Linked DNA regions of Canis lupus familiaris. The protein of the gene in region 1 interacts with the protein of each later gene in a biochemical or structural test. Links are inferred from orthologs where the notes say so. Each region holds a gene or a part of one and is shown in the gene's direction. Other genes may lie near its edges.

The links.
Region 2: of the proteins of MAPK1 (region 1) and SMAD1, one has a biochemical effect on the other in vitro, tested with the Homo sapiens proteins (3 studies listed by BioGRID). The link is inferred for Canis lupus familiaris from reciprocal best matches to the Homo sapiens genes MAPK1 and SMAD1.
Region 3: the proteins of MAPK1 (region 1) and HDAC6 form a complex in vitro, tested with the Homo sapiens proteins (2 studies listed by BioGRID). The link is inferred for Canis lupus familiaris from reciprocal best matches to the Homo sapiens genes MAPK1 and HDAC6.
Region 4: of the proteins of MAPK1 (region 1) and SREBF2, one has a biochemical effect on the other in vitro, tested with the Homo sapiens proteins (2 studies listed by BioGRID). The link is inferred for Canis lupus familiaris from reciprocal best matches to the Homo sapiens genes MAPK1 and SREBF2.
Region 5: of the proteins of MAPK1 (region 1) and MBP, one has a biochemical effect on the other in vitro, tested with the Homo sapiens proteins (16 studies listed by BioGRID and IntAct). The link is inferred for Canis lupus familiaris from reciprocal best matches to the Homo sapiens genes MAPK1 and MBP.
Region 6: the proteins of MAPK1 (region 1) and TNFRSF1A form a complex in vitro, tested with the Homo sapiens proteins (2 studies listed by BioGRID, with this or other methods). The link is inferred for Canis lupus familiaris from reciprocal best matches to the Homo sapiens genes MAPK1 and TNFRSF1A.
Region 7: of the proteins of MAPK1 (region 1) and ELK1, one has a biochemical effect on the other in vitro, tested with the Homo sapiens proteins (16 studies listed by BioGRID and IntAct, with this or other methods). The link is inferred for Canis lupus familiaris from reciprocal best matches to the Homo sapiens genes MAPK1 and ELK1.

The regions. Positions count from the first base shown.
Region 1 is NC_049247.1:31,299,381-31,304,078, reverse strand, and holds the start of MAPK1 (mitogen-activated protein kinase 1), read left to right. Parts: upstream 1-1,452; 5' UTR 1,453-1,636; coding exon 1,637-1,755; intron 1,756-4,698. UniProt on the Homo sapiens protein: Serine/threonine kinase which acts as an essential component of the MAP kinase signal transduction pathway. MAPK1/ERK2 and MAPK3/ERK1 are the 2 MAPKs which play an important role in the MAPK/ERK cascade.
Region 2 is NC_049236.1:44,445,320-44,449,398, forward strand, and holds part of SMAD1 (mothers against decapentaplegic homolog 1), read left to right. Parts: intron 1-1,869; coding exon 1,870-2,127; intron 2,128-4,079. UniProt on the Homo sapiens protein: Transcriptional modulator that plays a role in various cellular processes, including embryonic development, cell differentiation, and tissue homeostasis.
Region 3 is NC_049260.1:42,212,120-42,216,198, forward strand, and holds part of HDAC6 (histone deacetylase 6), read left to right. Parts: intron 1-93; coding exon 94-178; intron 179-274; coding exon 275-315; intron 316-998; coding exon 999-1,110; intron 1,111-1,241; coding exon 1,242-1,339; intron 1,340-2,183; exon of another isoform or gene 2,184-2,295; intron 2,296-2,504; coding exon 2,505-2,609; intron 2,610-2,734; coding exon 2,735-2,803; intron 2,804-4,079.
Region 4 is NC_049231.1:24,437,493-24,441,571, reverse strand, and holds part of SREBF2 (sterol regulatory element-binding protein 2), read left to right. Parts: intron 1-949; coding exon 950-1,171; intron 1,172-2,834; coding exon 2,835-2,949; intron 2,950-3,170; coding exon 3,171-3,352; intron 3,353-4,079.
Region 5 is NC_049222.1:2,889,888-2,893,966, forward strand, and holds part of MBP (myelin basic protein), read left to right. Parts: intron 1-2,084; coding exon 2,085-2,521; intron 2,522-4,079. UniProt on the Homo sapiens protein: The classic group of MBP isoforms (isoform 4-isoform 14) are with PLP the most abundant protein components of the myelin membrane in the CNS. They have a role in both its formation and stabilization.
Region 6 is NC_049248.1:7,447,594-7,452,319, reverse strand, and holds the start of TNFRSF1A (tumor necrosis factor receptor superfamily member 1A), read left to right. Parts: upstream 1-1,537; 5' UTR 1,538-1,595; coding exon 1,596-1,709; intron 1,710-4,726.
Region 7 is NC_049260.1:41,470,015-41,474,576, reverse strand, and holds the start of ELK1 (ETS domain-containing protein Elk-1), read left to right. Parts: upstream 1-1,521; 5' UTR 1,522-1,671; intron 1,672-4,562. Other genes in the region: protein UXT, read left to right, coding at 1-34, 241-294. UniProt on the Homo sapiens protein: Transcription factor that binds to purine-rich DNA sequences. Forms a ternary complex with SRF and the ETS and SRF motifs of the serum response element (SRE) on the promoter region of immediate early genes such as FOS and IER2.

The DNA.
Region 1 (4,698 bases):
ATGAGAGACCCAATGAGAGGCAGAGACATAGGCAGAGGGAGGAGAAGCAGGCTCTGTGCGGGACTCAATCCCCGGTCTCCAGGATCGCACCCTGAGCCAAAGGCAGCGGCTCCACCACTGAACCACCCAGACGTCCTGCTAGCAGGTTTTTAAATATTTGCTTATTCACCTCTGAGATTGACTAAACTTTGCTGACGTCTAGAAGTCCAGAGTTGAGGGCTTTCAAGATCACAGTGTTGGAGAACTGGGATGTAGGATCTTGCATCCTTACTTCCCCTCCAAAGATGGCCTGGGAAATGCTCAGAAGCAGTGGCTGTTAGCACTCCTGTCTCATTTGTCTTAGCTATTCCTGGTATTCACCTGCTTTAGGATTCTGATTTTAAATTTTCAACCTCTGGCGTTTGTGAGTACTTCAGGGCCTCGGTGTGTTTGTCTCATTTTCTCTAGATCTTAACGTTTTGGTTTTGGTGTTTCCATCTTTGCATTTGTTTTTTATGTCCTAAGATTGTCTACCTGTACTGACGTGGGTCTCAGTCTCTGACTCTGTCTTTCTCCACTAACCCCAACCCCTCAGTCGGCTTTGTATTTCTTCCTGGCACTTAAGATTTTATTCATTTATTCATGAGAGACACAGAGAGAGAGGCAGAGACACAGGCAAGAGAGAAGCAGGCTCCATGCAGGGAGCCCGGTGCGGGACTCGATCCCAGGACCCCGGGGTCACGCCCTGGGCCAAGGGCAGACGCTCAACCACCGAGCCATCCCGGGGTCCCACTACTTGAGTATTCTTTACCTCTCTTCCTTCCTGTCTCATCTACCCACCGGGTTATCTCCTCACTCTAGAATGTGGATGCCCAGGAACAATGCAGCTGCTCACCAAACACTGGTGGAAGGAAGGTGTCTGATTAGCGGATCCTGAGCCTCTCGCTGGAGGCTTTGTGTTTCACACTTTCTCAGTATGCAAATATCTTCCGTGGTCTCGGTCCTGCCTTTCATTTTCCTGGCCGCGTCTGGAGGCCTCGGTGTGTGCGTGGGCCACGGGGTCGCGCGGGCCCGCGGAGGTGTGCGGAGCGTCGGCATGCCGCACGCGCGGCCCCAGGTCGTGCCCCGGCCCAGTCAGCGCCCCGCTCCGGGGCTCGCCTCGCCCGGAAAGTTTCTCAGGCCCGCGGCCCCCATCCCCGTCCCGACGCCCTGCCGTCCTTCTGCGTCTCGGAGCCCGCATCCCGCGCCAACACCCCCGCGGGCGCACGTGACCAGGCAGGGCGGTGACTCCGCCGCCGCCGCCGCCGCAGTGCCCCGCCCCGACCTGCCGCTTCCGCCGGCCCGCGCAGCCCCGCCCCCAGGCGGCGGGGAACCAATCCGCGCGCACGCTCCTTGGCCCCGCCCCGGCGCCCTCCTCGGCGCGCGCCCCTCCCGCCGCCCGCCGGCCCGCCCGTCAGTCAGGCAGGCAGGCAGTCGGTCCGAGCGGCCGTAGTCTCTCCCGCGGTCCTGAGCGCTGCCCTCCTTGCTCCTTTCCGATCAGCGTCGGCAGCTGCACCCGCAGCGGCGCAGTCCCCCCGGGAGGCGCGGCGTGGGCCGAGCGGCGGCCGCGGAGCGTCGAGCCTTTCGCGGCGGCGGCGGCGGCGGCCCGGCAGCCAACATGGCGGCGGCGGCGGCGGCGGGCGCGGGCCCGGAGATGGTCCGCGGGCAGGTGTTCGACGTGGGGCCGCGCTACACCAACCTCTCCTACATCGGCGAGGGCGCCTACGGCATGGTGTGGTGAGTGTCGGCGCCTGTCCGCAGGCCGCGCCACGCCCGCCCACCCGCCGCCCGGAGACGCGGCGGACGCAGCCGCGGCCTCGTCTGCGTCCCGGCCTCCCGCGCCGCCGCGCCCCCAGCCCGTGGCTTCCGCGCGGAGTGGGCGCCGGGGGCCTCGGGCGGGGCCCGGGGGCCGCTGGAGGTTTGGGTGTTGCTCACTGCGCTTCGCGGGCCGGCCTCCGCTCGCCGAGGGGAGGGGCTCGGGGGGCGGAGGCCAGTGTCCGGGGACCCGGGGATCCGGGCGCGGCGCGGGTTTTAGAGCCGGGACCCCCGGGAGGGGAACGGAAGTGGTCCCCGGGCCCCCGCCCCCGGCCCCCATGATGCTAGCATCTTGGCCTTCCTCTTGACATCCCGACTGTAGAGCCAGGAATTCCATCGGATGCTCGTCGGTGGTGGTGTTGGCCGCGGTCTTGTGTGCAGAACCTGAAATAATCTTCTCCCCTCCCCGGTATTCCGCGAACGGCTTTCATTAAATATTTTCGGTCGTGCTAACGGTGCCCCGCGCAGGCTGTCCGTAAAAAGCATCAGTGGCACCGCTGTGGGTTGTGAAATATTTTAATCTTGAAGTTTTAAAATGGATTTTAATACCCACACTGTATGCGTTTCAAGAAGGATAAGCCTGCACCGCTCTCTTGGTTGATTTATTAGTCATTTGGAGTTGGGCTTAATTTCACTTTTTTCTTTACCCCTAGTGAACTCTCTTGGCGTAAATGTATTCACACGTTTTAGCAGAATTGTTGTGGACTTGAGCTGTTAATGATGTTTTAGTGGTCAGTATATGTGCAGCCTTAATGGAATTCTTGCAGGACTACGTGCAGCCTCCCTTATCTTGATCATATCCCTCAGAAACGTTCTTGGTTCTTTTTATTAGAATTAGCTGTATTATTTTGTGCTGATGAGGACTTACGGAAGCGTGGGCTCCCTTACACCTCTTTCTTGTGTGTTTTGAGTTGAATGAAGGAAGCAAACATATTTACGGAACACTTGGTGGCAGGTACTGTACTAGGTATATTATCTCATTTTATATGAACAGCCACCTTCGAGGTGGTGATATCCCTCTTTCAGGGGAGAAAATATTTCGAGGTGGAGCAAATTCTTCAAGTCCTACGTCTAGAAGAGACAGACTTGAGATGATAGACTGAGATCCTCTCTCATTTGCTGGAGCTCTTTCAGTTATATTTTGTCTTTAAATAGTGTTATTAGTAGCTTTAGAGTTTGGTATATTTTACTGTTGTAAGCAAATCTGTTTTAAAAATGTATTCAAATTTAAGTGATTGTGATTTTAGAAATGCCATAAAGGGCCTGTTTTAACAAGTATTTTAGACTAATTAAATTTTAAAAAGACTAATTGAATCTTGACTATTTTCATTCTCTTGAGGAGCAAAATGCTTCACATATACAACTGTGAAAATTAACGTGAACTCAGGTTTAGGAGCCAAAAGAAGAATTAAACTAGGTCAGGTCTAAAAGAAATAAGGCCCTAGAAAGTACTGCCCACAGCATCACTTCTCTGTCATAACATCTGATTGCTATGACACCTGCTGGTAAGTAGGCATGTGTCATGAGAGGTTCAGAATTGTCCATCATGTCCCATGGCTCTTTTTGAAAATTTAGCATCTAACATATGGACTGAAAAAACTTTAGGTTTAGGATACTATTTTTTTTTATTTTTAAATTTTTAATTTTTTTTTTTTTTTTTAGGTTTAGGTTACTTTAATTGAAAGTTTTTTTTCCCCCCGATGAGATTATTACTAGTTTGAAGATAAGTAAGATAGGGTAACTATTTCTTTTTTTTTTTAATATTTTTATTTACTTATTTATGACAGTCACACAGAGAGAGAGAGAGAGAGAGGCAGAGACACAGGCAGAGGGAGAAGCAGGCTCCATGCACCGGGAGCCTGACGTGGGATTCGATCCCGGGTCTCCAGGATCGCGCCCTGGGCCAAAGGCAGGCGCCAAACCACTGCGCCACCCAGGGATCCCAGGGTAACTATTTCTGTCATTGCTGTAGACATATTTGACCTTCCAAGTCTTTATTAGGGAAGATGCCAAGTACTTTTACAGTAATCTTCCTTTCCTAAAATCCAAATACAAGTACAACTGGAATTAAAATCCTTGGTCCAGATTATAGTTTTTAATCCTTACCTTAGTAAGAATGTAATTTATGTTGCACATCATTAGTGTTTAATAAGTGTTGATTAAGAATGCTGGGTTTAGGGATCCCTGGGTGGCGCAGCGGTTTGGCACCTGCCTTTGGCCCAGGGCGCGATCCTGGAGACCCGGGATCGAATCCCACATCGGGCTCCCGGTGCATGGAGCCTGCTTCTTCCTCTGCCTGTGTCTCTGCCTCTCTCTCTCTCTCTCTGTGACTATCATAAATAAATAAAAATTAAAAAAAAAAAAAAGAATGCTGGGTTTATGGAGGGCTTCTTGAATGAAATGTTAATATTTATTTATTTTAAAAAATATTTTATTCATTCATGAGAGACACAGACATAGAGGCAGAGACACAGGCAGAGAGAGAAGCAGGCTTCCCTGCAGGAGCCCGATGTGGGACTTGATCCTGGGACCCCGGGGTCACACCCTGAGCCATGGCAGGTTCCCAACCTCTGAACCACCCAGGCTTCCCGAAATGTTAATATTTAAATAGTGATATTTAAGAGTGGGTATAATTTTGATGGGTAATAGGCACAAGTGAGTTTGAGCTGTGGAATATGATCATGGAAAAGTAGTTAAGTAGCAAACTGTAGAGGACTCTAAAAGCAAAAATGAGCATTGTTGTATATTAGTGCAAGGAAGAAACATCAGTGATTTTGAAAAAAAAGAAGTCCTATGGTCAATTCTGAAATTTTTGAGGGGTAGATCAGCACTGGTGGAAATGATAGAGAAAAAACTGTGATGAGG
Region 2 (4,079 bases), on another chromosome or scaffold:
CCTTCCATCACCCCTAGTTCGTTTCCCAGAGTTAGGAGTCTTCATGTTCTGTCTCCCTTTCTGATATTTCCCACACATTTCTTCTCCCTTCCCTTATATTCCCTTTCACTATTATTTATATTCCCCAAATGAATGAGAACATATAATGTTTGTCCTTCTCCGATTGACTTACTTCACTCAGCATAATACCTTCCAGTTCCATCCACATTGAAGCAAATGGTGGGTATTTGTCATTTCTAATGGCTGAGTAATATTCCATTGTATACATAAACCACACCTTCTTTGTCCATTCATCTTTCGATGGACACCGAGGCTCCTTCCACAGTTTGGCTATTGTGGACATTGCTGCTATAAACATCGGGGTGCAGGTGTCTCGGCGTTTCATTGCATCTGAATCTTTGGGGTAAATCCCCAACAGTGCAATTGCTGGGTCATAGGGCAGGTCTATTTTTAACTCTTTGAGGAACCTCCACACAGTTTAACAGAGTGGCTGCACCAGTTCACATTCCCACCAACAGTGTAAGAGGGTTCCCTTTTCTCCACATCCTCTCGAGAGAATATATTCTAACTCCCAACAACAATAGCAGATTTTAAATCTCCTCCTTTTTCCTCGTGCAGATTTCCAAATGGGTGGTTTTTCTAGCCAAGGCCATGAGAGTAGTAGGGATTCTGACGGCCTTCCTTCCTGGGGAGTCCGTTTGGAGACTGTAGTGGGGAGTTGAGGATCTAACCCAGTTAGGGCTTCTTAGCCAGGCCTTCACTTTAATAAGCATCATAACTTATAGTGGCTTTGCCTCTAGAGGTTTCTGGAGGTTGCAAACCATGCTAATTATTAACTCCTTAGGTTCCTAACATACAGAGCTTTTTAGGAGTGACTTGAGCTGCTTTCTTTCATTCTCCAGTGGTGTGGATGTTTTTGACCTTTATACCTTGAGTATCCAGTTAGCAAAATGTGAATTGTATGACCCGTTTCTTCCTTTCCCTGTCAGGTAGTTCTGAGGGTTACTGAGAAGTGGGTTAAATGCATTAATATCCTCAGAGAAAAAATTTTTTGTGAAGTATGACTACTTGGACACAACATAAAGTCTGTCCCCAAGATGTTGTATTTTGTCTAATTAACTACCTTTATTGGCATTTGGATTTTTTGCTGCTGGCTGTATTTATCCTCTCCTTGTTAGTATACTGGGCCTCCTTTTGTTGTAAAGTGTCAATTTAAAACATTTGTGATGAATAATTCATACCATTCAATAAATATTAACTCTTTAAATGTAACGTCTTTTCAGGCAGCCCTGGTGGCTCAGCGGTTTAGCGCTGCCTTCAGCCCAGGGCCTGATCCTGGAGACCCAGGATCGAGTCCCATGTCAGGCTCACTGCATAGAGCCTGCTTCTCTCTCTGCCTGTGTCTCTGCCTCTCTCTCTTCTCCCTCATGACAAATAAATAAATAAATAAATAAATAAATAAATGAATGAATGAATGAATGTAACGTCTTTTCAACGGGGGCTGTAAACGTGGTACTGTTGATGGTGGCATATGTTAATTGTGCTTTGGTTTTCAGTGAATGAAAAAATTCAGAAGCGGGAACCTTAACATTTTGAACATAACAAGTGTCCTGCACTTTTCTTGGGCAGTTTGTTAGTGCTACAGATCTCGAGCACAAGTCACAGCAATTCTAAAGAGACTATTTGTTACCGCATTTATTCCTGAGTAGAAAATGGCTTTGCATCTGAATGATGCTTTTGAGCTGGCAGCAGGGCAGGGTTCAGATAATTTATTGTTACTTACAGATTATGTTTCTGCTCTACTGTGACGTTATTACAGATTTTCATCATTTTCATGTTTGTCTTTCTCTTTTCTTTCCCTTTTTCCAGTTCTTCCTCCAGTGCTGGTTCCAAGACACAGCGAATATAATCCTCAGCACAGCCTGTTAGCTCAGTTCCGTAACTTAGGACAAAACGAGCCTCACATGCCGCTCAACGCCACTTTTCCAGATTCTTTCCAGCAACCCAACAGCCATCCATTCCCTCACTCCCCTAGTAGCAGCTACCCCAACTCTCCTGGAAGCAGCAGTGGTACCTACCCGCACTCGCCCACCAGCTCAGACCCAGGAAGCCCTTTCCAGATGCCAGGTAGGTTGAAATGTTCAGTGATTTTCCAGTCAGGTAGATGGTGCTGCTGCCTCTGCAAGCATCAGTGGGAGCTGGGTACACCTGCCTACCCGAGAGCTCTTCAGCTCTAGTACCTGGTGCTCTGCTCTTGGTTGCAAGATACTGCTGTGGCTGAAGGGAGACCTCGTAGTCAAGGAAGCAAATGTCCTATTTTATTTGCCAGGCATAGATGCTTGAATATATTTTATTTTCTATTTTGAAGGGTTTTGAAACAGCTGCATCCTTCTGGGAGTGGCATAATTGTTACAGTCTTTGCTCTTGATAAAAGAAAGAGAAAAATAATGTGTTGCACACATTTGCCGAAAATGGAAAAAGCCCTGTTGTAAGTGCAATCTCAGAAAAGATACTTCCTGAGGGATCACACCCCACCCCCCACACTTAATCAAATTCATTTAAGTGGTGATGTAATCCCAAGAAACATATACTTTAGCAACAAAGGAAATGCAGCAGAAGTACTGGAGACCATCTGCTTGTTTAACTTAGCAAAGACAAAAACAATTATCTTCCTTTTTTAGACTTAACTGATGGTGTAATGTTTATCAAAATAAATGATTAATTAGGGCATTATATTTTTCAGATTATAGGTTAGTAAGCAAGCATCTCACAAAAAAAAAAATAATTAGTGCCAAATTTCTTGCTAGTAGACCTCAAGGAGCATACTCTACACAAAGATGTACTTAACACTGATTAACATTTCAAGAAGGGAAATGCGCGGGCAAGCCTGTTTATTAGGCCACTTGAGATGTTTTTAAGTAAATGTGAATTTGACAACAGTGCTGGGTATGTCCTAAAAAATTGAAAAGAGGTACATACTTGATAGTGCTATCTTTTATTTATTTATTACTTCTTTTTTTTTTTTTTTTTTTTTGAGCCTTTTATTCTGCAGCATTTTGTTTTTCCATCCAAAACTGTTTAGGATGAGGCAGGGCATTGAGAATACAGACTAGTTTAAAAATCAAACTAAATATCATCTGATGATTTCTTATTCATCCCACTGTCTCCCAGACCCATCGGGTTTGGTGAACCAGGTTAGTGATGAAGAGACAGTTCCAGAAGCTTTTGAGCAGTGGCAAACCCAGGGTAGGCCCAAAAATGAAAAACTGGAAGATTTTTGCTTGAGTTTACACTCTGTCCCTGGCTGTGAAGGAATAAGGCACAAGCCAAATAAAGGAAATGTGGAAGAGAGAAAGCTGCCAGGGGTGGGAAAAGGCACTTGTGGGAAAAGTAGAGTATCACCCATAGCTATGCAGTAGTGTTGTTGCCATAGGGTGCTGGTGATATTCTCACCAGCTCATTTGCAGAAATTTACTGGATTTGGTCTCGCAGGATGCTCTTTGTCTTCATTCCTGGCTGCAAGTAAAGCAGAGTCGGTGTTACAGCTGCAGGGAAGAAGCTGGAGACAGGGTGACAGAAGCATCCAGATTAAGATCCCCTTAGTCCTGTCTTTGTGCTGTGAGCCCTCACTTGTTAGCAGCTGGACAGTGGAAGTTACTGGGTTGCGACTCAGCTGGAGAGTCAGTCTTGGAAATCTCTAAAAAACTGTAAAGGAGCAGCAATATCAGCCATTTTTGTATTCCCCAGTTGCCCTTAGGGATCTAGGCTACTTATCCAAGTTATTCATGGTTCCCTAAGGTAAAGCTTTGTTCCCTGCTCTGTCACGTGTGCTAGATGGGCTCACAATAGCCAGTGAAGCACTTGCTTTTTGATCACAAAGGATTATTTGTGGGCAACCCGTACCCCTTATTTAACTTAAGAAAACACAAGACCTATATTAGTGTTCTTTGTTTCAGAAGTCATGCTGTTTGCCTCTTATTGCCAGCTGGCTGTGAGCTTTCTTAGAAGAAACATATGTAAAATCTGAATTAGAACATAGCTGTGATAAACTGATTATTATTCAGCTGCTAGAGGTTTTA
Region 3 (4,079 bases), on another chromosome or scaffold:
CAGAACCCCTGCCTCTGGGAAGATTGCATTTTAGAGGGGGAAGAGAGAGTCTGTGTGTGTGTGGGTGTGTAACTGTATGTCTTGTCAACCCAGCTTTCCTGAGGGCCCTGAGCGGCTCCATGCCATCAAGGAACAACTGATCCAGGATGGCCTCCTGGACCGCTGCGTGTCCTTTCAGGTGAGTCCCTCAGCCGACACCCTGGGTGGTGGGCAGGAGCTGGCAGAGCCTGGGTGCGGCCAATGCCTTAACCCTTTATTCCTTGTGTCTCTCCAGGCTCGGTTTGCTGAAAAGGAGGAGCTGATGTTGGTTCACAGGTGAAGGCTTCAGGGCCTTGTAGCGGTGGGGAGGAGGCCACCCTGGGCCAACCAGGGCAGGCCGCATTCTCTGGGAAGGAATGTCCTAGGCCTTGTGGCCTTGAGCAAGTTGCTGAGTCTCTGAATCTGAGCGTCCTCGCCTATCACACGGGAACTTGTAAACAGAAGTTCCTCAGGAGGCTCCGAGATGTGTTGAGTGCTTAGAGTGGTGTCTGCCATGTCATCAGCCCACAATAGGCTGTTGGTATTACAACCTAGTGTGTAAACAGAGGATGGACATGTGGAGAGTGATTGGAGGTTCCTCCATGGGCTGTAGGAACCCAGAGTGAGGGCCCTGGTGTGATGTGATTCAAGGAGAACTAGCTTGGCAGAGGGGCTGTCTGAGCTGAGAAAGAGTGAGTCAGATGAAGAGGAAAGCTGAGGGAAGGGAGGTACAGACAGCTACAACAGTGTGGCCAATGGCCTGGGGGTAGGATTTATTCTGGCTAGAGCAGAGAGCAAGGGATATTACTGGAAATGAGGCTGGCTGGGGAAGAATCAGGAAACATGTCCTGTATCCCAGCTGATCCCTCAGATTGACAGTTGAGGGGGCCTGTCTTGACCAGGGCTCAGAAGGGACAGCCCTGACTCAGGCCCAGGAGGGAGGCAAATCCTTGAATCTCATCTCCTGTCTGTGTCCCCAGCCTAGAATACATTGATCTGATGGAGACGACCCAGTATATGAATGAGGGAGAGCTCCGCATCCTAGCTGACACCTATGACTCAGTTTATCTGCATCCGGTATGGATAAGAACTGTAAGAGCAGAGGGTGGTGGCAATCCTAGGGTTTCCCATCCCCATGCCCACCACATCCTGGGGAGGAGTAGTGGAGTGGACAGGGCTGCTCTCTCCCTTACTCCCTCTCTGGATCCCCACTGTCTTTTCAGAACTCCTATACTTGTGCCTGCCTGGCCTCAGGCTCTGTCCTTAGGCTGGTGGATGCAGTCCTGAGGAACGAGATCCGGAATGGCATGGCCATTGTCAGGTAGGACCCACCGGCATTTGGCTGTTTTATATTTTAAAAAATTCCTTCTCTCGAATGTAAAATGTATTGGTATGGGTGGTATATTCATATGGTTCAAGAGTCAAAAGATACAAGAGGGGATACCAAAAAATCTCCTACCCTCATCCCTCAGAGACCTGCTTTCTCTCCTGGAGGTAGCCATTGTAACCAATGACTCATGTGTGCACCCAGAAACATTCTGTGTTTATTCGTGGAGTAAATGCCATATTTTATCAATGCTGAAATCTGTATTTTACCATCTTGAAAACCAGACTCATCTTGCAAACAGTGGCGTCTTAGAATTCATTTAGCAGTGTTTTCTGTTTTGTTGTTGGCATGTGAAATCACTATACATCTTCACGTTGTTGGCATCCCAAAATTGATGAAATGCAGAAGATACAGCCTTTCTCCTCCCCCTTTTTTTAGCCACAAAAGGTGGTAGCACTCAATATGCTCCCTTCCGTACCATGCATTTTTCACTTCTATGTCTTGGAAAGCTTTTCTCGAACAGTGCATGCCTTAGATCTGCGTAGAACGACACTGTGCAAATGCACAGGAAGTTAACCAGCCCCCTAGAAATGGGCGTTTTGGTTCTCCCCAGTCATTTGCTGTTTCCAAAACATGTCACAGCAAATACCATTATCCATTTAGAAACATTGTTATTTCACCCTTTATATTTTGTGGGCTGTGGGCTAAGTCCCCGGGAACAGAATGGCTGTGAGGGTGTGTGCACTGATCACTTTTATTTTACTTATTTTAAAAATTTTAATTCCAGTATAGTTAACATGCAGTGTTACATTAGTTTCAGGTGTACAATATAGTGAAAAAAAACATGGAACACTTTACAAATTTTTGCGTCACCCTTGCACAGTGGCCATGCTAATCCTCTCCCTCTCCCTCTGCCTACATTTTAGTATATGTGCTGCCAGAGGGAGCATTACACGTTGATAACTTTAACGAACATTATGCAATTTCCTTTGGGTAGAGAGCAGTAGATGGGGTGAAGGTCTGGGGGCCCCAGGTACTCAGTTCCTGACAGATTTGTAACCAGAGGAGTTGGTGGTCTAGAATTGGAACACAGGGGAGAGTCTGCCTCTGTAGAGGAGGACCCCCACCCCCAATCTGTGGCCTTCCCTGTCCTGCCCAGGCCTCCTGGACACCACGCCCAGCACAGCCTTATGGATGGGTATTGCATGTTCAACCATGTGGCCGTGGCTGCCCGCTACGCTCAACAGAAGCATAACATTGAGAGGTCAGCAGCAAGCAGGGGGGCGGGGGTGGTGGGGGTGGCACAGGGTAGGGTATCCTGGTCTGGGCCCTTCCGCCAGATGCACCTTGATCCTCTTACATAGTACCCCACCTCTGTCATCCTCACAGGGTCCTTATCGTGGATTGGGATGTACACCATGGTCAAGGAACACAGTTTACCTTTGACCAGGACCCCAGGTATGCCCTGAGTGCTGCCTTAGATGCTAGACTTCCAGCCACCCCCGCATCCTTACAGGCCCAGCCAGGAGCCTAGGCAGGAACGGAAGGCATTCACATTCATCAGGCCCACCTTAGAACCCAGTTCTGTGTAGCTCTCTACATTGCCTTCTTTCTTGCTTAATTTCACTGTGAGGCAGGGTCCGCTGGCTTCCCCATTTTACAGATGGGGGAACTGAGGCTTACAGCTCACACGGTCATACAGAGTAGTGGGAGAGATGAGATTTGAGCCCACAGATGTTTGAAGACCTTGTTCACAAGTTTCCCTCGGAACTGGAGTGAACTTCAAATTACGGGTTTATTTTTCTGATTCTGACTACTGCAAAATATTTAATGAAATTGAACAACATTGGGGCACTTAAGTGGCTCAGTCGGTAAGGTGTCTGCCTTAGGCCCAGGTCATGATCCCAGGATCCTGGGATCAAGCCCCATGTCGGGCTCCTTGCTCAGTGGGGAGCCTGCTTCTCCTTCTCCCTCTGCATACTACTATGCTTATACTTTTTTTTTCTGTCAAATAAATAAAGTCTTTTTTAAAAATTCCAGCAGGATTTTAAAAAAAGCAAAGATAATTGAGCAATACAGAAATGTCTAAAACAGTGAGTCTCCTGGAATTCCTGCCACTTCCAAATAACTTACTGATAGTGTCAGTTATATTCTTACAGAATTTTTTCTTTAGATGGATGAATATTTAGTATGGTCATTAATGCACCCCCTAATGGGATGTTGCTTTCTGTGTTCTTCGGCAATTTGCTTTTTGCATTTAACAACGTGTCCTGGGCACCTCTCCACATTAATGCCTCTAAAGAACACCTTGGTCTTTGCAAGGAGCGTTCAGTATCCCGTTGTATAGCTGTATCTCTGGTCATTTAACCCTCGGACATTTATGGTGCTTTCCAGTTTTTGCTATAACAGACAGTTCTACAGTGGAAATATATCATTTTATATTATCTTAAAATCTGTAATTTAGAAAGATGTAACTTTGCATTCCTTTGTACACGTATAGGATGTACACATATAGGATGAATTTCCAAGTGTGGATTGCTGGGTCAGAGGGTCAATGGGCTTTCAAATCTGGGGTCTCCTGCCAGACTTCCCTCCTGAAATGTGGCACCAGCTTACCCTTCCTGTGGAAAGTGATTGAGCAAATCCTCGTCAGTAGGGACACTAAGTGTTGTTTTATTCAACCTTCTATCAAATCAACTGCATAGAATCCCCTTTTTCCCCCACAGATCCCAAG
Region 4 (4,079 bases), on another chromosome or scaffold:
CATATGACTGCTGAACCTCAAAAATAGTATGTTGGGCAAAAGATGCCTATCACAAAAGAGTTCATGCTGATGATTGCATTTATATGAAGTTTTAAAAGAGGCCAAACTAAGCTGTGGTGATAGAGGTCAGAGCAGTGATCACAGAGGGGGAAGGGGCAGACAGAACTGGAAAGAGGCACAAGAGAACTTTCTAAGGGGATAGGAATCGTCTGTGTCTTGGTCTGGGTTATCTTGGTTACATACATTATATCCCTATGTAAAAATGTATCAAGCTATATACTTAAAATGTGTATTTTTTTATTATGTGAGAATTATTTCTTAGTGATTAATGAAGTTGGGTGGTTTTTTATTTGTTCGTTAGCCATTTGGATATTGAAGCCATTTTTTGAAAATAAAGCTAAAATGAGTAAAAAATAGAAACAGAGAGGGGAAAGCAGAGTTGAGGAAAGAGGAGCCTCTACAGTTGGCCTGTTTACTCAGTAGAATGGCTCTATCGGTTCTGCTCTTGTGCTTGTTGATGGCCAAATTATATAAGGAAAGGCAGCAAGTGGTTTTACCGTCATGTGAGAGGAAGAGATGTATCCTACACCAGGAGAAACTGCCTTGGAGCCAGAATGATATGGTACATTTTATGCGAGCTCAGAGGTGGCTAAATGGTTTGACACCAAAGCAGAAATCATAATCTTTCAAGTACCCTGAGACCAAAGGTTAAAATATATTTACCCACATTAATCCTATTGTGGTGTGATTTGTTGACAGCGGTTCTGAATGGGGCTTAGTAACTCAGATACTGTGGCTCCTGAGGTTTCTTGGGGCCTGAGTTAATCCAGCCAAGAAGGGCATCAGACCGGGCAAGGCCACATGGCCAAGGCTGCAGGTTTGTGTTCTGGGATTGCTTCATTCAGACTAACCATGGGCTAATTCTGCTCTGTGTCTGTGCCTGTTCTAGACTCTTGTGGGCAGCAATGGAACCATTTTGACCACAATGCCTGTGATGATGGGGCAAGAGAAAGTGCCCATCAAGCAGGTGCCTGGGGGAGTCAAGCAGCTGGAGCCCCCCAAAGAAGGAGAGAGGCGGACGACACACAACATCATTGAGAAGCGGTATCGTTCCTCTATTAATGACAAAATCATTGAGTTGAAGGACCTGGTCATGGGGACAGATGCCAAGGTGGGTGCCAAGCATTACGGTATTTCATGGGCCATCATCTCCCCATCTACCTATCTTTGCCTTAGGAATTTAGGAAAACCCAGGTCCAAGTGAGTGAATGTAAGGATGGTTAGAGGTGCTTTCTTTCTGTAGCATCTTGGGGTTTTTTCAAGATTATACAATATTAACCAACATAAGGGAACTGTTGGGTTTGGGAAGGTAGCAACCTGGCTGGACCTTTGACTCTGCTCTGTGGTGATGATGGATCCCAGGACCCCAGGTGGAGGGCTGCCTACTGCTCACTGGCAGTCAGGTGCAGATTGTATGTACCTTGGAATCAGCTGGTGGTGTTGCTGGCATATGTTTAATTGTGTTCATGGGTGGTTAGCAATATTTTTACCTTGCAGGGAAGAAAGAAAATGGAGATCAGGTCTTTAACCAACAGCAAATAGAGGGAATAGATTGTTCATTATTTTGAGTTTTTCAGTGAATGTGTCTTCTGTCACATAGTTTATTTGTTTTTGTGTTTTACCTATTTATCTTCATCATCTCTTATTTTATTTTATTTTATTTATAAATTTTATTAAAGATTTTATTTATTTATTCATGGCAGAGAGAGAGAGAGAAGTAGGCTCCATGCAGGGAACCCAACGTGGGACTCGATCCCAGGTCTCCAAGATCACACCCCAAGCGCTAAACCGCTGAGCCACCGGGGCTGCCCTATCATCTCTATTTTAAAAGAAAATTTGATTTTCCTCATAGCCTATAGATCTGAAATGTGCTAACATAACTTAAGATGGCTATCCAACAGTGCTCCGGTTTTTTGTCAGTTGTTTTCTTTAAAGTTTGTTTTGGTTCTAGGATTATTATAAGAAAGAGGAGTACTAGGGACTCCTGGGTGGCTCAGCGGTTGGGCATCTGTCTTCAGCTCAGGCCGTGATCCTGGGGTCCTAGGATTGAGTCCCACATCGGGCTCCCTGCATGGAGCCTGCTTCTCCCTCTGCCTGTGTCTCTGCCTCTGTGTGTGTCTGTGTGTGTCTGTGTGTGTGTGTGTGTGTGTGTGTCTCTTGAATAAATAAATAAATCTTAAAAAAAAAAAAAAAAAAAAAGAGGGATCCCTGGGTGGTGCAGCGGTTTGGCGCCTGCCTTTGGCCCAGGGCGCAATCCTGGAGATCCGGGATTGAATCCCACGTCGGGCTCCACCGGGAGCCTGCTTCTCCCTCTACCTATGTCTCTGCCTCTCTCTCTCTCTCTCTCTCTCTGTGTGACTATCATAAATTAAAAAAAAAAAAAATAATAATAATAATAGAAAGAAAGAAAGAAAGAAAGAAAGAAAGAAAGAAAGAAAGAAAGAAAGAAAGAAAGAAAAGAAAAAAGAAAAAAGAAAAGAGGAGTGACAATATTTATTTATTGTCACTATGTACCAGATCGGGGGCTACTCTCTGTACATGTATTATCTCATTTTACCCTCACTACAAGTTCATGATTCATGTATCATCATTATCCTCATTTTAAGGAGGTTCAGAGATGCTGAGTAACTTGTCCTGGGTAGCACAGCTAACCAGTGATTGAGCCCAGCATCTCAGTCCGGAGCCATGCTTTCACCCCATGAGCTCTGGCCTCCCCACTCTCATTGTGCCACCTGCAGTGATGCCACTGTGTTTTTACCTGGCTTCCTTCCCAGATGCACAAGTCTGGTGTTCTGAGGAAGGCCATTGACTACATCAAGTACTTGCAGCAAGTCAATCATAAACTACGCCAGGAGAACATGGTGCTGAAGCTGGCAAATCAGAAAAACAGTGAGTGTGTGCTCATTGAGAGAAGGGTTATCAGGCCTTCTGGTTGTAGAAGTTCTATGCTAGGCACTGGGGAGAGCCCACGGATGCTGTGTACAAGGTACCTTTGGGGGTGAAGCAGAAGCAAGGACCATGTGCCCCTTACCCAGCTCAGCCCTGGTCCAGGCACCCAGGCGGGGGCTCTTTACAAACAGACTGTTTGCCAGATGTGGTTTTCTTTGCAGAGCTCCTGAAGGGCATCGACCTAGGCAGCCTGGTGGACAATGATGTGGAGCTAAAGATTGAAGACTTCAATCAGAATATCCTTCTGATGTCCCCTCCGGCCTCTGACTCAGGGTCCCAGGCTGGTTTCTCCCCCTACTCCATCGACTCCGAGCCAGGAAGCCCTCTGTTGGATGATGCAAAGGTATGAGCTTTTGAAATCCTCTGATCCCTGGAATCTCTCCCATATCTCCTAAGTTAACTGTGGAGAAGCTGCCGATAGGGAGGCAGGCCAGGTGTTGAGAGGACTGGGGCAGGAGAATAGGAATTCTGTGAAATTAGGTCCTACTGTGTCCCCCACAAAATCCACTTAACTGGTTCAGTGTAGTCCAGTTTAACTGGTCCTTGCTGAAAGAGCCCATCTGAGAGGAATAAGGGCCAGATCCAGAATGGGAACACACAGCAGCTGTCATGCGGGTGCTAGGAGTTGCCGGAGGCGCCTCATTACATCCCTCACTCATAATGGGCCTGGCAAGACCATTTTTTGATGTTGCTCGGTTGGTTTAGGGCAAGGCTGCCTCTGGGCCCTCTTCTGGAAATGATTACAGTTTCCAGTCTAACAAATAACATTCCAGCCAAGGGCCTTTCATCGTCAAAGAAAGCCCCTGGCAATTGTGGTTTAATGGAATTAGCCAATAGAGGCTCAAGCCTAATGATCTAGTAGTCCTGGGAACCCGTGGAGGCCACTGGCAATTTCTAACTTCAAAAGCACAAACTTCCCTTCTAGCCTGAGTTTTTGATCAAACTGTTTATAGTATCATGTTCTTAATCTTAGTGACGAAGCTCTGTTTGTGAAATACTTTGTAAATGTGATTCTGTTTGGTAACAGAAGGCCATATGATGTATACATTGAATTAGCTAGGCATCTGTCA
Region 5 (4,079 bases), on another chromosome or scaffold:
GCCTGTGCCATGTTGACCGGGCCCCTGGGCCTCCCTGGCCTCTCGTTCCCCCCACCCCTGTCCCCGCTGCTGACCTCACACTGGCCTCTCCTTCACACCAGGCCCTCCAGCTCCAGACCTTTCTACTTCTCCCTGCCAGACCCGCGCTGGGTGCCCACCCCTTGGCAGAGGCCCTCAGCTCCGCCCCAGTGTGTACGTTGACCCCTCACGCCATCCCTCAGGGGCCCCTGAAGCCCCTTATCCTGCTCTGTTGTCTTTTCTATCACAGGTTGATAGGAAATTATACATAGTAGTTGTGTCCTGTGGCTGCAACAACAAAGTACCACAACCTGGGTGATTTAAAACAACAGGAATTTCTTCTCTCAAAGTCTGGAGGCCGGGAATCTGAAACCAAGGTGTCAGCAGGGCTGTGCTCTCGCCACCAGCTCTAGGGGAGGACCTGTGCCCTGTCTCTTACCTTCGGGTGTTCCCACGTCACTCCCGTCCCTGCCACCATCCCAAGGTCCCTTCCCTGTGTGTCTGCGTCTGTATCTTTTTATATCCCTTTTGTATCTCCCTCTTTTTATACAGACACCAGCCAGTCACTTGGTTAGGCCCACCCTCAGCCAGGACGACCTCATCTTACCTGGATTATATCCACAAAAGATCCTATTTCCAAATAAGTTTACATTCACAGGGACTGAGACTTAGGATGGGGACCTGCCTTTTTGGGGGATACTTCATTTCCTAATATTCATTTCCATTAATGTTTATGAGACAAGGACCACATCTTTTTCATCACTGCAGCCCAAACATTTAGCTCAGTATATGATGGTTATTAAGTGCTCCATAAATAATGAATGGGTGGCCAGGTGGATGGATGGGTGGCTGAGTTGGTGGTTGGGTGTGTGAGTGGATGGTTGGGTGGGTGGATGGATGGTTGGGCTGTTGGGTGGGTGGTTGGCTGGGGGTGGGTGGATAGATGATTGGACAGCTGGGTGAGTGGGTAGTTGGGCAGGTGGATGGATGGTTGGGGGGCTGGGTGGGTGGGCGGGCAGATGGATGGGTGATTGGGTGGGTAGGTGGAAAGATGTGCAGCTGACTGGGTGGAGGGTTAGCTGGGTGGACAGGTCAGTGACTGGATCAGTAGCTGGATTGGTAGGTAGGTGGCTCAGCAGATAAATGGGCAAGTGGGTGCTGTTGCTGGTAAATGTCAGTGAACAGATTGGTGCTGGTTGGGTGGATGGATGGATGGATGGATGGATGATATTAGAGGAAAGCATGAGTAAACCCACATTTTCTATAGATATGTAATGAAGGGGGGAGTGAAGTAGGGTGGACATACCCTCAAACCTAACTTGTAACTTGAGAGCAAAATGGGTGTGTTGCCATTCTGGAAGGAAATGCGGTATTTTCCCGTACATGTGTGAAAGCTGGGAGAAGGTCATATGGCTCACAGAATACGCCATTCCCACTTCACACTTTGTAACTGGGGCTGCTTGCAGAAGAAAAGCCAAATTAAAATACCCTGAATAAGCAATTCTCTAATGCAAGAGGCCTCTTGTGGAATCTGGAAACTCAAGGATTCTAAATGCCCCATTTCTTTAGGGCATGAATTGCAAAAAGATGTGGGAAGTTCCATTTTTATCGAGAACACTGAAAATACCTTTGATCAAACCACTGCTCCCAACACGCTTAGCTTGTGCACCAGTGGAGTTGGAGGGATTCGATGTCCCACAGAGGCGCCTGCAGCCCTGGCCCCTCCACGCCCAGCAGCAGCAGCGGCGGCGCCCAGGGGTGACTGCTGTGTCTGCTTGGGCCTCCTCAGCAGGAAGCTGGGGTACGCTTTATCTAGGGCACCAGGTGTCGAGTAACTGAGGCAGCCCCTGGGGTTCCCCGAGACAAGACCTGCAAGTAGGACGCTCAGTCCAGGTTGGGTCCCACCACGAGTGATCTGGGGCTACCAGGTAGCTTGACGGCCCCGGGCGCGCATGCATTCTGTGGGTTTGGTAGGACACAAGCAGGTCCCCAGCCCTGGAAGAAAGCCGCATTGTCCCTCACTCTGCTTTGCACGGCCCGTGTTCATATCTCACTGTTGTTTGCAGGGGAGGCAGATGTGGAGCAGAACAATGGGACCCCCTCTCAGGACACAGCGGTGACAGACTCCAAGCGCACAGCAGACCCAAAGAATGCCTGGCAGGACGCCAACCCAGCTGACCCAGGGGGCCGCCCCCACTTGATCCGCCTCTTTTCCCGAGATGCCCCGGGGAGGGAGGACAACACCTTCAAAGACAGGCCCTCGGAGTCAGACGAGCTCCAGACCATCCAAGAGGACAGCGCAGCCACTCCCGAGGGCCTGGATGTGATGGCGTCACAGAAAAGACCCTCCCAGAGGCACGGATCCAAGTACCTGGCCTCAGCAAGCGCCATGGATCACGCCAGGCATGGCTTCCTCCCGAGGCACAGAGACACGGGCATCCTTGACTCCCTCGGGCGCTTCTTTGGCGGTGACAGGGGTGTGCCCAAGCGGGGCTCAGGCAAGGTGAGCTCTGAGGAGTAACTAGGGGCGCACACCACGTGTGTCCACTTTAGTTGACAAGGAAAAGGAAGGAGAGTGAGCAGGTGAGCTAAGCCCCAGCGGGGATGCTGTCCCGCTACTGTCTGTCCTCGCTGGCGACGCTCACGGGCCACAGGCGCGGGCGGGGGGCGGGGGGCCGGGTTGCTGCTTTGCCGCATTTCCACACAGCTCAGCCTCTCTCCCCTCCTCACAGGGGATGCCGGGACATCCTGAATTCCGCATCCGTAGGGGGGCCCGGCACGGGCACCGCGTTCTCGGGTCACCGGCATCTCACGCTTGGGGGCTTGGGGGCTGATTCGCTTCTGCGCCCGCGCTTTTGGGTTCGACGTCGCATTGTGCTCACTTTTCTTGGTGTCAGCGCTGCTAGCTTCGCGTTGTCTTGTAGCTTCGCGTTGTCTCGGAACAATCATGCGATTGAGGACTTTTGAACAAACTCAAGATTGAAATTCGCCTTGAGCAGATATGTCTTTTATCTGAGTTATTGAGGGGCAAGGGGTGGAGGGATCCTTGAGAGTGCCTATGAATCAAAACTGTATTACTTTGTTATTCCATTAATTTGAATAGAGAATCTGTGAGCTCTCATTATGTAATTATGTAAATGTTCTGTAGATAAAAATTGTATTGCAAGGGAAAAAGCTCCCATTGTTCCCGAGTTTCCAGCAGTGGCTCCCGGAGTCGGTGTGAATGGGGCATCTGTGGTGACATCCCATCAGGGAGCTGAGTCCCGAGTGGCTTTGCCGTAGCAAGCACATAGAGTGCTGTATGCCTTTTCCGGGTGTTGCCTGGCTGGGTCATTGTGGAAGCAGAGGGTCTTTTGGGGAAAGCCCGGGTTTATTGGCTGTGCTCACAAAACACCTAAGTTGTCACTTTTCCTCTGGCTGCGTGCGTATCATGCTGACTCTGAAAGTCTTGGGAATGTAAAGAGGCTTCTGACCTGTGGTTTCTAAAGGGGTCTCTAAAACTTGCTCAGTCTCTAACTACAGAATTTAGAATTACTGCTGATTGTGAAATCGTTGAGCGATTTGTGTTTAAACAAAGGCAGTTTTGCCACGTTGGAATTAGGGGACATGGCGGCACAGGAGCTGGGGATGTCGCAGGTGCTGGTCGTGAGGTCCCCAGCATCTGCCCCCAGGTGCCATCACTCACATGTCACTGGTCATGCCTTCTCGTGACTAACATTTGGCGCGTCTTAAGTGCTGACAGCGTTCACCTTCTGCTTGGTCCTTTCAGTGTCTGTGTTTGTAGACATTTGCTTTTCCTTTTGGGCAGTCTTGTGTCACCCCAAAATGTTGGGCATCTGACCTATTTCCAATGTTGATTTCAGTCCGAGGTGCTTTTTCAGAGCACGGCTATCAAGCCACACCAGACCCTGGCTGCCTGTTGAGTCTTGCTGTTACTCTAAGTGCTCCACATGCATGCAGCACCACCAGTCCGAAAGCTTAAGCTACTCTGCGTAACTCAAGGAACAGGAAAAATAGAATTACACTGGGCAGAAAAGATTAAATTGCTGTATAGCACATAT
Region 6 (4,726 bases), on another chromosome or scaffold:
TTCACAGATATGATCTCATTAATCCTTATGACATCATCTTCCCCATGTAGGTGGGCCAGGCAATGTTACCCTCACCTAATAAATGAGGCTTGGTGGGGCACCTGGGTGACGCAGTCGTTGAACTTCTGCCTTTGGTTCAGGTCGTGATCCTGGGGTCCTGGGATCGAGTCCCACATCAGGCTCCAGGTAGAGAGCCTGCTTCTCCCTCTGCCTCTCTCTCTGTGTCTCTCATGAATAAATAAATAAAATCTTAAAAATAAATAAATAAATGAGGCTTGGTGGAGGTTTTGCCGAAAGTCCCTCAACTTTTTGTGGCAGAGCCAGCATCAGCAGCTGGGGGCCCTGGCCAGGCAGAGTAGATGAGCACCAGACTGGTGGGAGGGTGTCAGGGCCCCAGTCAGGGCAGAAAGCCAGGGTTAGCGTTTACTTTGAGTCTGGGTTGGAGGGATAAATACCCAAGAGAGTGGGAGATTAGGGTGTCAGTGGAGAACTCTGGAGCAAAGGGAGGACTTACTACGGACCGCTGAGTGCCTGTCACAGGTCAGACACCTGTCTCAGGAAATCTTCACAGCCACCCCACGAGCTAGGTTCTCTCCAACTGGGAAACTGAAAAACAGACTCACAGGCTGTCTGTAGGTCGTTGGTCCAGGACCAGACAGCTAAAAAAGTAGAGGATTCTGAACTGGAACCCAGTGAATTAGATTCCAAAGCCCTGAGCCAGTCTACTGCTGGTCACGTGGGAAAGGTCTTGGGTGGGTGGGGTGGGGGGCTGTTCGCTCCTCCGGTCGGGGCTGGAGGGGTCGGATTGCTGGGCTGGGGGCCCCAGGCTGCCGCCAGAGCCAGGGCTGCAGGCGCCTCCGACTGAGCTCCAAAGGGTTACAGCCCTTCGCCCCCCCTCCCCCGCCTCCTCCCTCCTCCTCCCCCAGGCTCTTCCTGTCCCGCAGTTGCGACACCCCATCTGCCACTCTCTCCCTTCCCTCCCACCTTCTCTCTGCTCTCTGCTTTAATTTTCTCCCAGTTCTCGGGACTCAGCCTCCAGCTCTGGCCTTTGGGGTTGGAGGTCCCGGGACCGTCTCTCCAGTCCGCACCCGGGCTCCCCTGCCCGCCGCCCGGGCTCCTCTTGGGACCCGCCGGGCCCGCGCATCCCGGACCCCGCCGCCGCCCCTGCCTGAGCCCCGATGGGGGAGTGAGAGGCCACGGCTGGCCGGACATGGGCCTCCCCACCGTGCCTGGCCTGCTGCTGCCACTGGTGAGCCCCGGGACGGGACGAGGGCTGGGGGTGCGGGGTAGGGGCGGGTGGAGAGGGCGCCGCCCCGCAGGAGTGGGCCCTCGCCGCCCGTCCGGACCTCGGGCCGGCGTGGCCCCACTTCCAGCGCGGCCGGGAGCTGGGGTTCCCCAGTCGGCCGGCGGCCCTGAGTCGGAGGCAAGGGAGAGGGTGAAAGGCCAGCCAAGGCCAGCCAAGGAAGTCAGCTGGGGCTAGGGATTGGCTGGGAATGTGGGGGCAGGTGCTCGCTGAGGGAGGGGTGGGGCCGATTCGGGAGAGTGAGGGAAGGAGTGCGGGAAGGCCGGCCAGCCCTCTGCCTCTCGGAGGCCAGATGGTTCGGAGTGGTGTCCTCCATCCGCTGGCCAGCGCGGACCCCGGCGGAGGGGAGGAGCTGGATGCTAGGGAAAGGGGGAAACTGAGGCCGGGAGCAGAGATGGATTGGTGGGTAAGTTTGGGATGCTGCGTCTGTGTGTCTGTGTGGAGGCGGGTATTTGGGTGTCCGGTGGGAACTGGACAGGGGCAGGGCAACCCCGTGGAGAGCCAGGACGCCCACCTGGAGGCGCTCCCCACACTGTGCCTCTGGCTCAGCTTTTAGATGGGTGGCCTGTGTTGGACTGGGGACCCTCTCTAGCAGCCAGCACCACCTCCACCTGGTCCTGGCCCTGTGCCCCCTGGGTCCTGGCCCTTCCAGCCCCCTCCCCTCAGGCCTGGACAACAATCTCTTGGTTTCTTCTTTTACAGCTGGGTTTAGGGAAGTTAGTAGAAAGTTGTTTTCGTCACTGGAAAATGTCCCTTTCTTATGCCTCAGCCTTGTTTCAATGCTTCCTTGATCTCCTGTGCCATACCCTGGGTTCCTCTCTCCCCCTACCTGGGTGGATGTTCCTGGCCTGCACTGGCCCGTTTCTTCGGGGTCCTTGCCCTTCCCTGGCCCACGTCCTCCCCGCACTCTCCTCTCCTCTGGATCTTGTCCTGTCTCTCCTAAGCATTCACTCCTTTTCTGTCGGTTTCTCCATGAGTCTCTTTTGAGACTTTTTTCCCTGGTTCCTCCCTCTCTTCTCTGCTGAGTCCACATTTCTAGACTCTGATTCCCCAGGCAGCACCTGTCTCCATCTGGGTCTCACTGTTCTTTTCACTGTCCCACCTCCTGTCTCCCCAGCCCCCTGTCTCTTGACTTCTCTCAAGACTGTACTTCTCCCAGGCTCCCTCTGCCCCCATCCAGTGGCCTGGGCTTACTTTACTTCTCTTCTCTCTTTTGGGGGTAGATCCCTTGGATTCAAATCCTAGCTCCCTCACAGACTAGCCACCTGAACCTGGGTGGCTTCCACGTCTTAGCTTCTTTATTTCTAAAATGTAGGTAATAATCACAACCTCATAATGTCATTTCGAAGATGAAATAGATTGAGAGACAGTTGACCTTTGAACAACATGGGTTTGAACCATGCCGTTCCACTTATATGCAGGTTTTTTCCCACTACATACAGTATTATAAGTATATTTTATTTTTATGATTTTCTTTTTTTTTTTAAACATTTTTTATTATTATTTATTTATGATAGTCATACAGAGAGAGAGAGAGAGGCAGAGACACAGGCAGAGGGAGAAGCAGGCTCCATGCAGGGAGCCTGATGTGGGATTCGATCCCGGGTCTCCAGGATCGCGCCCTGGGCCAAAGGCAGGCGCCAAACTGCTGCGCCACCCAGGGATCCCTGATTTTCTTAATAACATTTTCATTTCTCCAGCCTTCTTTATTGTAAGAATACAGCATACGATACACATAACATGCAAAATGTGTGCTAATCCATTGTTTATGCTATTGGTAAGACATCCAGTCAACAGTAGGGTATTTGTAGTTATGTTTTAGAGGAGTCAAAAATTATATGTAGACTTTTCACTAAGTGGGGCGGGCTGGTGCTCCTAACACCTGCATTGTTCAAGGGTCAACTATGTATTAAGTATTCAACTTATTAAATGCTGGGTCTGTGCTAGACATTATTTTAAGTGGGATTACAGTAGCAAGCAAAATCTCTGCCCCCATGGAGTCTACAGTCTAGTAGACGAATAAGGTATAGCAAATAGAAAACAATAAATGTTAGATTTGTATTGTTAGTATTAGTAGTAATTACTTGGTGGCTACTGTGTTTGGAAAACATAGGGTATGGGTAGTCTGAATTGATAAAGGAAAGCGTCTGGGGGCTGGGGAGGAGGCTCCAGCCCATGTGGGAGTGTGACTGTGAAGGGACCCAAGCTAAGCCTGGAGCTGGAGGGGAAACAGAAGATATGCAAAGTCTGAGCTTTTCAATTGTTCACCATTAATACTGAGCACTCTAGTATACCGTGTGTGGGTGGATAGGGGGAAGAATACTGGAGAGAGGGTAGTAAAGCTTATAGGGTTTTGTTGTGCCTCAAAGAGCTTATGGTCTGTAAGACATCTTACAGCAAAAAAAAAAAAAAAAAAAAAAAAAAGATTTCAGAACAGTCTGGAGGGGAAGACCCACAAAAGTGTTTTGATGCGGTGCCCTGGAACACCAATGGGAGACAGACCAGGGAAGGGAATGAGCTGCCTTTTCTTGCTTAGCAGACCTCAACCGTGGTGTCGGGGCTCCAGGAGCACCCTCTGCCTAGAGTGCAGAGCCTACAGTGGATTGTCTCTGACCCAGCTGAGAACTTGACAGCGTGGGCTGTGTATTCGCTCTAAACCCCTAGAAGCCATATGGGACCTGGTGCCTAGATGGTGCTTCCTAACTCTTTGTTGAATGAATCAAGGAACAGGCATTGGTCAGATGAATGAGGAAGAGAAAAACCTCACAGATAAGTGGATTTGGAGCTGAGATTCGAAGTCACTCATTGGAAAAATGCCTAGAAAAAAGGGAGACTGGTTTGAGGGAGAGTAGGGGAATGGAGAGGTGGGGTTTTGTGTTGGGGTTGGTGGTGGCAGGAAGCTGAACGTTGTTGCTGGAAGTGGAAGGAGCATGTTGAAGAACAAGAAGAAATGAGAAAATTGAAGGGTGTTGGGGAGGGGATGAAGGAGAATCTTGAGTGTGGTCCCAGGTAGAGGAATTCATTCATTCATTCATTCATTCATTCATTCATTCATTCATTCAGACACAGTTTTCTGAGGGCCCATGGCATCTGGGAACATGTTCAGAATAGTAGTGAGGTGCCTCTGCAAGTACTCATTCAGGGAAGGAGTGACCTGTGGAAATGATGTTTGAGGTCAGGCTCTGGAGAGGAAGATTCCCATCCAACCTGTGGGTGCAAGTTGAAGCATGAACACAGATAAGAAAGTGTGTAGGATGGATTGGAGCAGGAAAGAGGCTGGCAGCTGGGCAGTCAGCGGGGAGACAGTTGCAATAATCTAAGAGTGAGGCAGCCCATGGATACGGACAGGACCAAGAGATCCTGTCCTCCGAAGAAGGACTGATGAGGTGAACTGACAGACCCGATGGCCTCAGGACTGGGATG
Region 7 (4,562 bases), on another chromosome or scaffold:
GAATATCAAGGCCCATATCCACATGTTGCTAGAGGTGAGAGTACCTCACCCCATTCCCAGACTCTGTCTCCAAATGTATTCAGGGTGGTGTGACCCGACGAAGGGAGAGAGCCAGGGATGGGAAGGACCATTTTCCTCTCTAAGCAGGAACCAGGCTGGCTCTGAGGGAGGGGAGGTCAGAGCAAGCCTGGGCTGAGGCCTAGACAATCTCTGTTCAATCTCTTCTATCCTTTTTTTCAGGGGCTTAGAGAACTACAAGGCCTGCAGAATTTCCCGGAGACACCTCACTATTGACTTCTTCCCGCCTCCGTAGACATTAAAGAGCCTGAATGCCTTTGAGTCACATGGCCCTTCTTTCCCCACCTCAACCCTTTGCTGTTTGCTAAGGTGCCCTGTTTCTAAAGCACAAAGTTACCAGGAACCCCAGAGAGCCAGTCTCTATGTGGAACCTTTAAAGCACCCCTGAAGTCCCGCCTCCAGCCTGTTGCCTGGCAGCATTTGCCACTTGACTTTCTGCACTGCCCTCTTTTCTGTCGCCTTGGAAACCTGGGCCTCCCACCTGACCCTTTTATCTTCCTGGACGTAACTGTCTTAATCATAGAGAATGGGCTGATTCAGGGTGGAGGTTTGTTCCCAAGACAATCAGCCTTTCATTCCTGGCCCTAAAGTTTGCCCCTCTCCCCCACCCTAATCATTACTGGGGTACCTTAGATTACACCCACGCCCGTCTCATTCCAACCTTGGCCTCACCCGGCTTCTAACTAATTTCAGCTTCCACCAATGGGCGCAGAGCCTGATCCCGCCCTACCCCGGCCGGCCCCTATTTTAGGTTGAGTCTAGCTTCCGCCAATCATTGCAGAGCCAGGTTCCGCCCCCTTATAACTGGCTGAGGCTCAACGCTGACCTCCTCGTAGGCTTTAGTTTCCGCCACTCAACGCTCCTTTGCGTGCCTGGCCGCTGTCCAACCCTATCTCTGCTCTGTCCTAAACTCGTCTTTTCTACCCAATCACGATAGAGTTATCCTCCCACCTACGCACAGTCCTGGCCCGACCCCCTCCCAGCCTGCCGCTACGCCCACTTCCATATAAGTCCCGCTTCCGCTGAGCAGCGTGGAGTGCAGCACCGCCCAGTTGGTGTTTTGGCAGCTGTCTGGAGTCCCTAGTCCGCCAATCAGTAGAAAGCAGAGTCCATCCGCCCCTATCCTCGGAGGCCGTCTTCCATGCAGGCCAATTATTATCAGGCAGGCGCCCCCAGAATCTTGTCAATCGCCCACAGGCTGTCAGCCTTGGGCCAATCAGCGTGAAGCGCCAGCGGGGCCCAGCACGCCCCCTCGGAACCCAGGCGGCTATCTGCGTTCCATCAGTTCTCCTCGGGCCAATCATGGCCTAGCTCTGCGGGGCAGGGCCCGCCTCCCCAACCCTGGAAGCCGCGCGGTCGAGCCAAGGCGCTGTGTCCAATCAACCAGCCGCGGAATGCTCGGCTCCTCCTCCAGGGGCCCACGTGAGCCGTGAGGAAACGCAGGGGCGGCTTCTAGGTGCCGCCGCCGCCGCCGCCGCCACCGCCGCCACCGCCGCCACCGCCACCTCGGAGCCCGGGCCTGGGGGGCGGTGGGGCTGCGCATGGAGCCCCCGCCCCCCGGAGCTGCCAATACTGCCACTGCGCTACACACAGGTGAGCCCGGGGCCTGGAGGGTGGAGGGCCCGTCCGTGACCCCACGTATCCTTCCCGCCCCCGCGCGAGGGATGTGGCTTGGCCCATGGCCTGCTGGTGTTCAACTGCCCACCGCCACCGCCACGGCTGGTGGACCTGCCTGTGGTATTGTCCCCTCCCTTCGCCCCTTGTAGTCGATCTGACCGTGGCCTGACCCCCCTTCCTGTTTTATAATGGATCGGTCTGCGTGCTTATAGTTCTCCCCACCCCACCTTACAGTGGACTCGTCCGTGGTCCTGCCCCGCCCCCACCCCCACTTAGAGGGGAGCAGCCTCGGGCATTGTCCCTCCTTGACAGAAGGTGCATCTGACTGTTTATTTTCTCCTGTCCTCAACTTTCAAGGGCCCCGTCTGTGGCCTTGTAGTTCTGTTCCTTGTAGTGAATCAGTCCATGGCGTGTTGCACCCCCCCCGCACCCCCTTTAACAGTGAGTTAATCTGTGAAGTTGTATTCCTGCCTCCTCCAGTCCCCCAGTGCATCAGTCCCATGGTTTTATCTTTTACAGTGTATCGGTCTGAATGCTAGTATCCACATCCCTTGTCGTTATCAGCCCATTGCCCTAGCCTCTTTTTTTTTTTTTTTTTTCAGACTGTTTCTCCAGCCCTTGGGCTTCTCTCTTCCTTTTAATAGTGGGTCAGTTTCGTGTTTTTGAACTCCCCATTTTCAGTAGCTCATTCCATGGCCTTGTTCCCTTCTCCTTTTAATGAGTCCGTGTGATGGCATTTCACCCCATCTACTCTTGTGCAGAGTAGATGCCTTTCTGCTCCCCTTGCCCCCCATAAAGAAGATGAGCCTTTGCACTCCCCTCCACCCCCGCCTTTGCAGTGGATCTGTTCATTGGCCTTCTTGTTCCCCATGTGCTTGCATCCAGGCACACACCCCCATACCCTCCCCTGAGTCCAGTGCTTTGTAATCTCTTCTCCAGGAGGGTGCTTTTATTTTGTCCCTCCTTTCCTTGTGGTGGATCAGTCCATGGCCTTCCCTGCTTCCTCTCTTCTTAATGGTGGATCATCCTGTGTGCTTGTTGAACCTGGCTCTTTTTTACTCTAGAACACATCCCCCTCGTACACATCATTAATCCCTAAGACATTCTGCCTCACTGCAATAAACGGATGCATTCAAGATAGCGATAATGCCATTAGGAGCTAACGTTTATTGAGCACCTACTAGGTACCTGGCAAAGTGCTTTATATCCATGACCTCATTTCGTCCTCACCACAATCCTGTGAGACAGGTACTCAGGAAAGTTCGGCACAAGGGGCTCAATACGTTATTCAGAGGTAAGTACCCAGTTAGGTTGCCCCTCAGAACACAGAATAATTTTTGAGGATCCCCTTTCTCACTTCATCCCATGCCACATGAGACCCCACTCCTTAAAAAACAAAGCACCTCCCGTCTCCAAGCTTTTGTTTTTGCTAGTTTCCCCCCCGCCTGCAGAGCTGTCTCCATTCCACACTTTTTCTCAGCACCCATCCACCCGCAATCGCAGCAGCCATATGATCTGAGTGATTTAACCACTTTCTCTCCGCACCTGCTTCCTCATTTGTAAAATGGAGGCATCAAAACCAGAATCCCCTCCAGTGTGAACATATCTGAGAGTTAATAAGACAAGTAACCTCTCTGGCTGCACCTCCTGCACCTTGTCCCTCCGACTCTGTTCCAGCCATACAAAGCTCCTCACTCATCCTCAAATCAAACACGCCAGATACAGCCCAGCCTGAGGGCCTGTGCATTGGCTATATTTTCTACCTGGAATAACGTCGTTCCCCTGATCTGTATGTGAGTCCTTTCAGAGCTCTATTCAAATGTCAGCCTGCCCCTGATCATCTGAACCTACATACTTAACAGGACTCAGGTTCCTTCTCTGCAGTAGTGGTCCCCTTTGCCCTTCATCACTATCAGACACACTGTGTAGTTTACCAGTTCACTGTCCCTCCCCATTAGAACAGTCAGTCCAATGAGGGTTTAGTTTTTTTGTCTGCTTATTTACTGCTGGGTAAATATACTTAGTATATACTAGGTGCTCAATAAGAATTTGTTGCATGCATGAAGGTGAAAAATATTATTTCAGACAAATCAGGGTGCAAGGGGAGGGAAGGGTTGGAGATGAAGAGGGTATACGAAAACTAGCTAAAGAAACTAGTTGGGACTGTTCGTTCAGCAAACACTTAGCACCTACTGAGTACCAGGCACTCTTCTAGGTGCTGGGGATATGGGAAGGAACAGAACAGGCAGAAATTCCTGCCCTTGTGGAGCAGACGTTTGCTAAAAGTGGGGGAGACGGACTATATAAATAAAACAGTAAGTAAAATTAGATAGTATGTTAGGCGCTAAGGAGGAAAGTGAAGTCGGGAAGACAGGGAGAGAGTACGGGAGTGATTGAAATCTTGGGCACTGGGCAGGCCTCACTTAGAAGGTGACCCTTGAGTTAAGGCCTGAAGGAGATCAGGGAGGAAGACAAAATATCTAGGGGAAGAGTGTTCTGGAGGTGGAAGGAACAGCCAGTGCAAAGGCCCTGAGGTGGGACTGTGCCTAGTGCATTCAAGAAACGTGAAGGAGGCCAGTGTGGCTGGAGCAGAGCAGAGGGCGGGAGGGAGGCAGGCAGGCAGGCAGGCAAGCAAGCAGGAGGCAAGGTCAGAGCGGTGATGGGACCCAGATGGTATAGGCCATGGTGATACATAAGGTTGGAGGCTGGTGGGAGGGTGAAGGCTGATAGACAAGCTAAGAGCTAACTAACATTTGTCGAGTGCCTACCACATGCCAGAGATACTTTTCTAAGTCCTTTATATATATTGACACTAGATCCTCGCAAAAGCCATTAAGAATAGTATATTTTGAAGATATTTTACAGAT